Linked DNA regions of Caenorhabditis elegans. The protein of the gene in region 1 interacts with the protein of each later gene in a pairwise test. Each region holds a gene or a part of one and is shown in the gene's direction. Other genes may lie near its edges. The genes, in order: dsc-1 and saeg-1.

Region 1 (6,177 bases):
TATATTATTGTATGCAATATTATTTTTCAATCGATCATTTTAAGGCAACAAATATAGTTAAAATACGACACATTAAAAATAAACAACCGATTTGAAATATTGAAGAGAAACGACTTTTCTTTAATGACTGTTACTGCATTAATTCATGATGGTTTATAAAATTAAAAGGCAGGAAATCAACGCCACCAAAGTCGCTGCCCAAACTATGCAAGTATCTGCCAGCATGGTTTGGGCGTCCGTTTGGTTTGGACAACAGTTGAATCAGTCTAGTAGACCCAAATGTTTCAAAATAAAAGTTCCAACTGAGACCTCTGAAACATTTTTTGCCCGCTGTATAATTGACTGAAAACATGAGTCAAAGTTTCATTTTTTAAATAAACTTGGACAAAAATTTTGAATCTTCAAACAATAAAATGATGAGTCCAACTTCAACAAATGTGATGTTTATTGGTGCGGAGTGAATGCTAAAAACATTTTATTAACATTTATTTTTTAATCGTGACTATAACATCTCAAAACATGCACTTTCACAGGCAATTTCAATTTTCACTTAAATATGAGTTGTGTTAACTTATTGAACACTAAAGTTTGATAAATCTGTATACATCAATATTGTGATTTAGGGCTGCGAACTTGCCACATGCGATGCGCAATTAGGGCAATTTTTCTACAAAAAAAGTCGAAAAATTTTCTTTAAAACTCAAATAAGCAATTCCAAAAAAAAAGAAGTTACTAACTCATGTGATATTAAAAAAGTGAGCTCTGAAAAAATATCATTATTTTAAATAGAAGCTGGGCCCAAATAAATATTCAATGGTCAAATTAAAATCAACAAAAACTTGAGTGGCATTTTTAAGCCTTTAAAACCAAACCAACTACCCAAAAAACCAAACCAACTACCCAATTTTGAGTCCTTGTTTTGACTATAAAACAACAACTATATATGTAGGCTGCAAGCTAAAAAAATTTTAAAAAAATTTGATGACTTTTTAATTTTAAGAATATAATATGTTTCAGGCTTCAATGGCTTTTCGTTGTTGTTTATTACAAAAGTTAATTTATAATTCAATCTACCACAGTTCCAACAAAATGCGATTTTTGCTACCGAGAAGACACGTCGATCATTCTTATTACAGAAAACTGAGCATATTTTCAAACATCGGCTTCACTGAAAAGTCTCGAGAACCTTTTTTGATCATTTTGAGTCAAGTTGCAGAATGGTCTATATTGCTAATCAGAGATGTTTCAGTAATGGCTTCATATTTCTCAGCTACCAAGTAGTAAAAACCGCTCTGTTGTCATTGCAAGTCATCAATTCAGCAATTGAAAAAAAAAACATTTCAAAATGTTTCAAACTTTATATAAAAGTATACGTCCGTTGTGCCAAGAACATCTAATTGCTTAAAAATGTATTTCAAGAAACTAAATTTTAGCAGTAATCAAAGTGTACAGTTTGGTTACAGTTTACTCTGTATATTTGAAACATTTTGATTCGTGAACTGTTTGAAAGAGTGTAGTGTTTCACTTGGCGTCACTTCATAAAAGATTATTAAAGAAGATTAACCCTTCGCTTGGTCACCGAAGAATAGCCACCCCCACCGCAGCTAGGAGTTCTTGCTCTGAATGGATTAGTGAGCTGTGGAAAAGTTGGCATTTTTAGTGATCTGACTAACTAATCCCCCTCAATTAATCTCAGATGTGAGGGTGGAAATAAAAAATGTGGATGGCATTCGCAAAGAAGTTTTATCAGAGAAAGTAACAGTGAATTGAAGAGATTAATAGAGGGGATTAATTGGATGATAAAAAGAAGCGAGCAAGGTGAGATCAGTTATTCATTTTTCTCATTTCACACATTATTTGCACTTCTTACTATTTTCGAGTTGGTGCAGAAACTATCTTCAGGACTTTGGTCAAGTGCTGAAAATTCAAGTCAATGAGGTAAGAGCTTAATTAAATTTTGCACACAGTTTTTGTCTTGTAATTTGATCCAAAAACATAGCAAAGTTAGAAATAGATATGACATTGGAAAAATAGATTTTAACTTTCAATCTAACCGAATAATAAAACATGCGATCTATTTGTAAATTGATGATAATTATCTAATAAATATTCCGATGAACTTTTCAGATCTGAACCAAATATGAACCCTCATACCAACCTCAACAACGTATTCGACTTTCCTGATCTCCCGATGCTACTTCCAAAATCAGAAGCTTTGTCTGTAACCACCGATTTTTCTGTGCCACCAGTGCAACAGGGAGCTCAACAATTCCACCCGCCGCGCAATCTGGGACCACAGCTTGCTCGTCGCTGGAGCTGCGGCGATTCACAGCATGCCGACGAACCGCCCGCCTCCTACTACCATAACCTCGGCGTCGCCCTTCATAACCACTTTCAAATGTCGAATCAGCATTATTTATCGGATTTTGATTGTCCAACAACGGTTTCACCGATTTCATCTGCACATGAAACTGGGCAATTGCCACAATTGAGTCCGTATGATCATATTGGAAATCAGGATCCGCATATGTTCTCTCCCCATGCTTATGGAAACTCTAGTAAGTTAAATTTAGAAAGTTTATCAGCAAAAATATTTTTTCCAGTGATTCCTGACAATTCATATTTTGAAAATGCGTCACGCTCCATCTCTGCACCAAACGTTGGCAATTCAAGTAAGTCAAAGTTTTCAAGAATCGAAAACTGACCGCTAAAGTTTCATTGTCTTTAGAAAATTAATCTTTTTAAAAAAGATTATCAAAACTTGTTGCATTGATTCCATATTTAATCCCAGTAAAAAGTCAATGTTTTCAAGGATTACTAGAAACAGATCGGTACTAGTTAATCCAGAGGGTGGGAAATTCATGTAAAAACTTGAAAAATAGGGAAGAATGAATTAATATCAAAGTATAAAACAACTTTTTTATGAAAATTTAAATTTAAAATTTAACACTTGAAGTTTTGATAGTGACACGTTCACAAAAAAAAATCAGCATTTTGAATGTTTCACACTTCTGATTACTGTTTTGTTATGCTTACTATATCATTTTCCGAACGTAATTTTTCTAGAACCATATTCTAAAATGAATTTAAAATAAATTCATTGATCTATTTACGCCGACTAAAATAATTTATATTTTATTTATATGTATCCCTTTTTTTTAATTACATGAAAGGAATTGTGATACATAATTGTCCTTGATTTAGCTCTATTTCACCACACTGTAACATTTTTTCTACTCATTTCAAAATTAACTGTTCCAAACGGTCCAAAACTATTGTACATCATCTGAAATCCTTACTTTCCAGCTCTGAACCCTTCTCTGATGTCAAGCGACAATGCTCAAAGTTGTGGAGGCCGACGAAGATTCAGAACCAACTTCACCGAACTTCAATCCACCTTCCTTGAAGATTCATTCAAAGAATCACACTACCCGGATCACAAGGCCAAAAAGTATATGGCTGACTTTTTGAAAATTCCAGAGGATCGTATCACGGTGAGTGTACATAGTGTTTAATCTTTTTGAAATTGATCAAAATCTTGATTTTTATGCTATGAATAATTGAAGAAAAAAGAATATTACTAGTAGGATTTCCTTTGATGTCATCTGTAGAAGATTAGCCCCTCTGACACAATTTTCACTCTTTCAAAATCCTTTGGAATATAAAATAGAGCTCAAACGAAAATGATCATGTGCATCTTTGGATTCAAATGATTAGAAATGAAGATAAATGCTAAACATTTTATGAAACGACAGACCTATTCAAATAAGACAAGTTATAAGTTTCAGGTATAACGGGTATTTTTTTCTGATTGGAGGAGGGCAAGAATAATAGAGGAATTTTTTTTTTCAGAATTTAGTTCCACTCAACTCATGAGAAATTCATAAAGCTAATTTTTGATAATTGTTTACAATACATGTTGTAATTTCAACTTAACTGAAAAAAACCATGATTCCATCTTCCATTCTCAAAAACTACAACCTGCCATAAACCGATTCTTGATCACACTTGTTTTCCCATCTTCCCCTCCCTACCATAGGCTACGGTAGCGTATGCTGTCCACATGTGGGGGCCTCAACTCTCGAGTTGCAATTTACGAGCAACTATCTGTCACAATTGAAGTGAGCCAAATCGCTTCGAGAGATTTGATTTAACGCGAAAACACCAAGAAAACCACACACACACACAAACCAATAAATATTTCAATTATTCAAACTTCAGGTATGGTTTCAAAACCGACGCGCAAAATGGAGAAGGAAGGAGCACCGTCAACGGGATCGCACTCGGAATGAATCTTTCAGTGGAGGATCAAACTCGTTTGATTTTGCGTGTTTTTCTGCGCAACATCCAGATGATGGTCCGAATGCAAAGCATCCAAATTCTTTTGGTATTCCCAATCAACCGGTAAGGCTATTACAGATTAACAACTGAAAACTTCCGTATGAAAATAATTTGGCAAAAAATTTGATATTAAAGATCGAGTAGCGTCAGTGGGAATTTTGTATAATTATACTTATAATAATCCAAAACGACCAAATATGATAATAAAATACTTTTAAAAAAATGTTTAGACTTTTTTATAATTTCCGGTCAAAATTTTGGCAAATTGCCAAAATTTCGAAAAATATGAGCTTTTGAGGAAATCCCAAGCAATGTCGCATGTTCCGACACCTACGATGTTTTAATACAAATAATTAAAACAAAATTGTAGTATAAAAAATGTAAGAAAAAATTTGTTTTGGTCGACTTCCAAAATTATGAGTTGAAAAAACTGAGTAATTGTTACTTTTTTACAGTAAATAAAACATTTCAAAAATTGTTTGAAAAGGTTTCATATGATATTCGGTTATTCTGGCATTATAGGAGTAGTTTTAACACTTTCCCCACTGGCGCTACTCCACCTTTAATTAATGAATTAGCTAGTAACTATTCAACTTTCTAAAGTATTATTTATGTATAAAGCTTTGCTGAGCTGGAATTACAGACCGTGTTCATCTACTATTCTTTTGTCAAAAATAATTAGCCCTAAAAAAGCTATTCGAAAGTTTTTATAAAAGTTTTACAATGGCATGTTATCACTATAAACCATTGTAGTGAATAATTTTTATGGTTTACACAATTAATATATATATTTAAATTTCAGATGTCCCTTGACCAATTCCCAATGAACACTGAACAAGATTTTCCTGAATTTCCAAGCCTACAGGAGCATCAATAAGGCATCGATATACTATCTCAATATCATTTATTTGGATTTTTTAAGTTGAAATTTTGGTTGTTTTTTCTTCCTCTTAGAACAAATCAAAAAGCCAGTTTGTACCTGTTATACAGATCAAGAAATATGTATTTTGCAATTTTCTATGTTATTTTTTGACTTTTCATCTATATATTTTTCGTTTGTATATGTGATTATGTGCTTATTCTAGATTTTCATATCACTTTTTAACCGTTAGTTTTGTCAGATAATTAGATAATATTAATAAATAAAACCATTCATTCGAATCATTCATGAAAGTTTCTAAATCATTGGTGTTCATTATGAATTTCAGAAATTCGCAGGGCATTTTGAGATCAATTCAAGTAGCATTCAAAACTTCTTTTTTTTTTGAAAGATGATTGACCAAACAAAGTGGAACTATTGGAAATTTGGTGGGTAGGAACCCGTAATCATTCGTTTGGCAAATAAGGTTTAGGGCGGGAAAGTGATTTTGCTTTGGGCTGTTGACGGGTTCAAAATGATAATCATAATAATAATAATAATAATAAAAACATAAAATATTCTAAAATCTTGATTGAAGATAATTGAGGACAGTTCGAGAATAAAAGAAATCGAATCACAATGAAGTTATTGGAAATTTCAAATAACTTGAAGAGGGGGCGGTGTGATTAAGATTTCGTAGACACCGAGTAGATTTGCTTTCCAGTGCTAACCTGCAAGGTAAAACGTTTTTAAAAACTAAAAAGGTGCATAGCTTTCACAATTTAGGAAAAATTAAATCTCCGGCCGCTGCAAAAACTAATTCACCAAATTTCAGCGTTTTTTTTCTGAATTTTTTAGCATTTTTTAGTGAATTTTTCGAACTATGAAATTAAAAAATTAACATTGGTAAGTTTTTCAAAACATACCTGATCTTGAGATTCCGTATTTTCACCACTCTCAATATTTTTAGTTTTGTT
Region 2 (5,030 bases), on another chromosome or scaffold:
TTTTCTTTTCTCATTAAGGACTACTACTACTACAACTTTTATTTTTGTTCTCTTTCTCCATTTCCACCCACCCTGTTGTGCCCTTTATTGGTCAAAAGTCAAATGTCAGGTCTCCTTTTTCTCTATCTTTTGCTGTAATCAATCGACGAACGAGAACTGTTTTGTCGAAATTTTACACAGTTGCACAGAAAAAAGTATTTCAAACAAATTTGCATAAATATGATTGTGTCAATTGTCAGTTTCATGTGACGGATAGATTCTCCAAAAATTTATATTTCTGGAAAAATCTTTTAAAATCAGGCTACCGTAGTTTTCTTATGAGTATCGCATGCAAGTATATTTTTTGATAGATTATTTAATTTTTTTTAATTGTTATCTTGGAAAATATGAAAAGTTAATTTGCAGGCGTTTTGTTTAGCAGAGAGCACTTTTCATATGTTAGTTTGTTTATAATCAAGGCCAGACTAAACTTTCTATATTCAAGCGATTTTCATAGTAAAAGTGTCATGTGATCACTAAAACTAGTGCATAATAATGGTACAAAGAATTTGTTTAGACCCAAGCGGCCGAAATCTTATTTAACGTTTTTTCTCAAAGTAAGAGAACTAAAAATGGTTTTGGATCTAATTAATGTTTTTTTTGATAATCGATAACTAGTCCTCACACTCAAATTTCCAGTCCATCAAATGATCATGTATCTAAATTTAGTTAATTTGAGACATAGAAAAACATGATCTTCCTAAACACCAATGATCACTTATTATTCTTCGTTATATTTTCTTGTTTTGAAAGGTGTTGTGGCACCACGGAGTGGCGGAAGACCGAACCCTTTAAGCCTCAAGAGGAACCGAGCAACGAAGACTATGTCAGAGGTGCAGCATGGCATCGTCTATTTGTATATGTATTGGAAGGAACAGAACACAGTTTTAATAAATATGTTTATTACTCCAAAGGGGAGATAATCAACAGAGGGGGAATGGGTCGTACACAAGAGAGGGGGAAATCGTCTGGTGTGAGAATATCACGTCCTGCCACGCGGGTCTTTGGTCTGAAGAGGTCGTGTGTATGAATGGTCGGGGTCTCTTTGGGTATCAGAGCACGTACATAATATCAGTATGGGGCAACATAATAGAGAAGGGGGTTTGTCGGGGAGAGAGCTGTGCTACGCACGACCGTTCGGCACGGGCGCAGCAGGAGACACTGAAGTGGTGGCGTCCAATGGCTGCGTATCCTGTTGTTGGTTGAGTCGCCGCGCAGTGAAAGCACTGTGCGTCAGAGCAATCTTGTATTGTCTTACGTCGAAACCTCGTCCAAGAGATCTCTCATGAGATCGGAGGACGAGACATTGTGACATGGCGAGACAAGGGTCGAGCCAGGTCACAACAAAAGGTGAAGTTCATGCTCACTTATTATTTTTGAACGGATTTTAATATCTTAGTTTAGTTGATTCTTATTTCTGCTGGAGACTACTCTGCCACACTGAACTTAATTTCTTTTTATGAAAACCATCAATTGATCCTACAAAAAAGAAAGTTCACACCCATTATTATAACGACACCGCCGTACCTAAAAGAGGAGAGATCCACTCCCAGTTTCAAGTATCTTCGTTCTTTTTCTCTCATTTTAAACTCCTTCAGTTTGTAGTTTATGTGCTTTCATAAGTACTATTTCTTGTTCAAAAAATCAACCAGTTCAACACAAAAACTATCATGTAATGATACATAATGTTGCGCTTAACCCTTTTTTATTGATCATCACTTTTTTTTTTCATGCTCTCTGCTCTATCATCCCCGTTTTTTCATTGCTTTGATATTCAGTCATACCGTAAACCTTTTCCGAAAAAAACTCAATTTTCTTGTGTTTTGCTCCACAATATGCTTTTTAAAGTGTTATTATTTCAGATCAACGTGGATCAGTTGCACAATCCTTTTGAATGGGGTGCTCCTGATGTGCCCCAGCAACCGCCACCACAACCACCTCCAAATGAAAATCCAATGCCACCACCTCAACATCCTCCAAATTATTACGCTCCTAGAAGATCGATTTCCACTATAACTGGCCCAAATCGTAGAGATGTAGATGCTTTTTATCAAAATAATTTTCCAGAAAAGGTTTGCAATAGCAACACGAACATAAAATTAGTGAATATAAATATTCAAACGTGTTTTTCCATGAACGGTACTATTCACCAAAACACACAAAAAATGCATTAAAAATTGATATTGAGTAGGTGTCTTAAAATAAACTTTTAAACTTTTCAGAACGGAGGTTCCAGCGGAGAGCATGTTCCAGAATATCAAGCATCAGGGCAACAACACAGACCTTCAATTATGTCAGGGCAGTCACATCAGAACAATCATTTACCTGTAAGTTGTTTTATCCTAATCGATTTTTGGATCTAGTAGCTCAATATTCATATTCATACATTCCTTCAATTTTTTGTAAAAGAGTCATGACGAATTGATGCAATTTGGAGCATAGAAACGGCTGAATCCAAAAAAATCTAAAATTAACGCTAGCAAAAAATTTTTGGTCAGAGGAAAACTACTGGACCGAAACGTTTTAAAATTTGCATTGATATAGTTCTCACTATCTAGAATTTGCAAAACATATTTAACACGATTCAGAACAAAAATTTTTTGTTTATTAGTTATTTTCGATAACGAAAAATGTTGGCAAGAGATTGATTATATTTGTAATTTTGCAATCAACATAAAATTTCTATCATAATTAAGCAAATTTTAAAATTTTAAAAGTTTGAATTTCATATTAATAAACATAGTGTTTCCTATAAAATACGATATCCGAATATTTTCTTAATGTATACTAACAAAAATTTATTTTCCAGACAAAAAACTATTCTTACGAACCTCTCCGATTTTCACCACCCAACGTGACACCTCCACCACTTCAGTTTTCTACAAATACCGTAAGATATTCTATAATATTCCTGAATTTTCAAACCACTTTTTCAGGATGGAAATCGAAAAAATCAACGTGTTAGATTCAACGAGCTTCCTAACTATTCAACTCCAAATCATTATTCAGTTCCGCCTAGAAAGTGCTCATTGGCTCCAAATTTCTTCTCATCGCAAAACTCTCATCATATGTATCCCGATCAATATGTGAGAAATAGAAAGAAAAATAATTACTATTCAATCGCAATTTTAGACTCCTCGTACGTGGCAAAACAATGAGTTTATGCCAAATCATCAGGTCCATCCGTATCATGCTAATCACCAACAGCAACACCCTCAACAACATTGGAGAAATCAAGTGAGGATATTTTTTAATCCTTCTATTATTCAACATTCTAATATTTTTTGGTTCAGGCGGCTTCAAATGGTAATCACAATCCAATGTATATGAGAAAACATTCGGCCGGGCATGGAATAGAGATCAAACTAGATCATGTTGATAATCCGTAAGTTTTTTTTTTCTGTTTGAAAAGTTAATTTTCTGAGGACAATATATTTGATAGCGCTTTATTTTATCTCAAATGGTTGTAATTTTAAAACACGTTTCATATATATTTTTACGGACAAATCTTGGAAAGGTCTTGAAACAATAAATGTTCAAAATTAAAGACACTTTCTCAAAAAAAAAAAGACAAGCTCAAGAACTATTAAAAACATAGGTTAAAATTAATTTCAATAACAAAGTTTGTAGACTTTTGAATGTTCAGTTTTATCATTTTGACTTTTTTGCTTACCAAATATTACACTGCACATTTTTGGCGAACATCTGTTTTTCTTACCTCACATTACGAAAAAAATGCAAAAAAACTCGGATGACCATTTCAGCGACCGGGGCTAAATTTCGAAGCTGAAGTATTGCATATTTTTAGTTCCGGCTCTGGACAGCTCTAAACACAGCCTTCCAAAAATCATAGGTATCGTTGTAAAATCAGAGTATATATCAACTTCCTCTTTTTGTATACTGTATATCTTCTATTAATATGGCCTCCCTATTAGACTTGCACTCCCTATTAGTATTGCCCCCCCGGAGACCTTCCGAAAACTAGTATTGCACTCCCTATTAGTCTTGCACTCTCTAATAGTCTTGCGTTAACTTTTTTTGTATTGCAAACCCGTCTCGCTAATTTCAGGATTTCAACAAAAAAAAATTGCCTATTTTGCAACAGTTTTCACATCATTTTTACGAGATTGAAGTTTTTGAACTTATATGAAAATCAAATTTTCTGAATTTTTACATATGATTCGAGCTTTTTCAGGAAAAAACTAGTAAGCTCAAAGTCAGAAAATGTTCTGAAAATTAGTATTGCACTCCCTAATAGTCTTGCACTCCCTATTAGTATTGCAAGCGGGAAGACCATCTAAAAATAGTATTGCAGCCATATTAATAGAAGAAATACGGTAGTTGTTTTAACAGAAAATCAAAATCTTTACGAATACCCTTTCGAGGTGATGGATGTTGCGACAAATCACGTTGATGCATGATTTTAATTTCAGTGGCCATAAAGTTAACGAAACGCAATCAAATTTGTGCAACTGATAGATAAGAAATTGTTCGGTGCATAAGAAATTTTGGAATTCTCAAAAATTCAAATCTAGATAATTGTGCATTCAAAAAGACAAATATTTAATCAATAAACAAGCATTCGAATGCAAAACATTTTTACTCGTTAAACGAGTTACGCCAACGTTTGTATATTTTTCGTTCGAAAAAAAAAACACTTTGTACACATATTTATTCTAGGAAAAACAAACACGACCAGAGATTTATGAACTTTCCAGTTAATTATCTATATTTACAACGCAACGAAATTCTCAGAATATCCAAATACCCGTCACTGAAATGCCATATATTCTAGGGATGCACTTGCTCAAGATTTTTCATATTAGGGAAGACATATTTACGTAATGTGATTAGCTGAGATGCTAGTGTAACAAATTAATCTTAAATTAAAATTGTGATCCTTCCAAAATTAGAATTATAGAAATCGAGTTCAAAATATTCATTTCTCCACACATGGGGTTTCAAACATTTTGCGAGACCATTACGCAATT

Evidence for each region.
Region 2: the proteins of dsc-1 (region 1) and saeg-1 interact in a two-hybrid assay, tested with the Caenorhabditis elegans proteins (one large-scale study listed by BioGRID).

The regions. Positions count from the first base shown.
Region 1 is NC_003284.9:15,030,505-15,036,681, reverse strand, and holds dsc-1 (Homeobox protein dsc-1), read left to right. Parts: upstream 1-1,849; 5' UTR 1,850-1,938; intron 1,939-2,127; 5' UTR 2,128-2,140; coding exon 2,141-2,558; intron 2,559-2,603; coding exon 2,604-2,672; intron 2,673-3,306; coding exon 3,307-3,494; intron 3,495-4,221; coding exon 4,222-4,404; intron 4,405-5,143; coding exon 5,144-5,218; 3' UTR 5,219-5,502; downstream 5,503-6,177. Other genes in the region: seb-3 (G_PROTEIN_RECEP_F2_4 domain-containing protein), read right to left, coding at 5,887-5,931, 6,127-6,177. UniProt on the Caenorhabditis elegans protein: Transcriptional regulator which plays a role in the expulsion step of defecation by controlling enteric muscle-specific expression of exp-1 which is required for enteric muscle contraction. Not required for exp-1 expression in the PDA neuron.
Region 2 is NC_003283.11:10,862,664-10,867,693, reverse strand, and holds the start of saeg-1 (Suppressor of activated egl-4 protein 1), read left to right. Parts: upstream 1-1,994; coding exon 1,995-2,111; intron 2,112-2,261; coding exon 2,262-2,366; intron 2,367-2,848; coding exon 2,849-2,929; intron 2,930-2,975; coding exon 2,976-3,125; intron 3,126-3,171; coding exon 3,172-3,276; intron 3,277-3,332; coding exon 3,333-3,424; intron 3,425-5,030. UniProt on the Caenorhabditis elegans protein: As a likely component of a histone deacetylase complex, together with saeg-2 and hda-2, functions downstream of the cAMP-dependent kinase egl-4 to regulate the expression of genes required for egg-laying and foraging.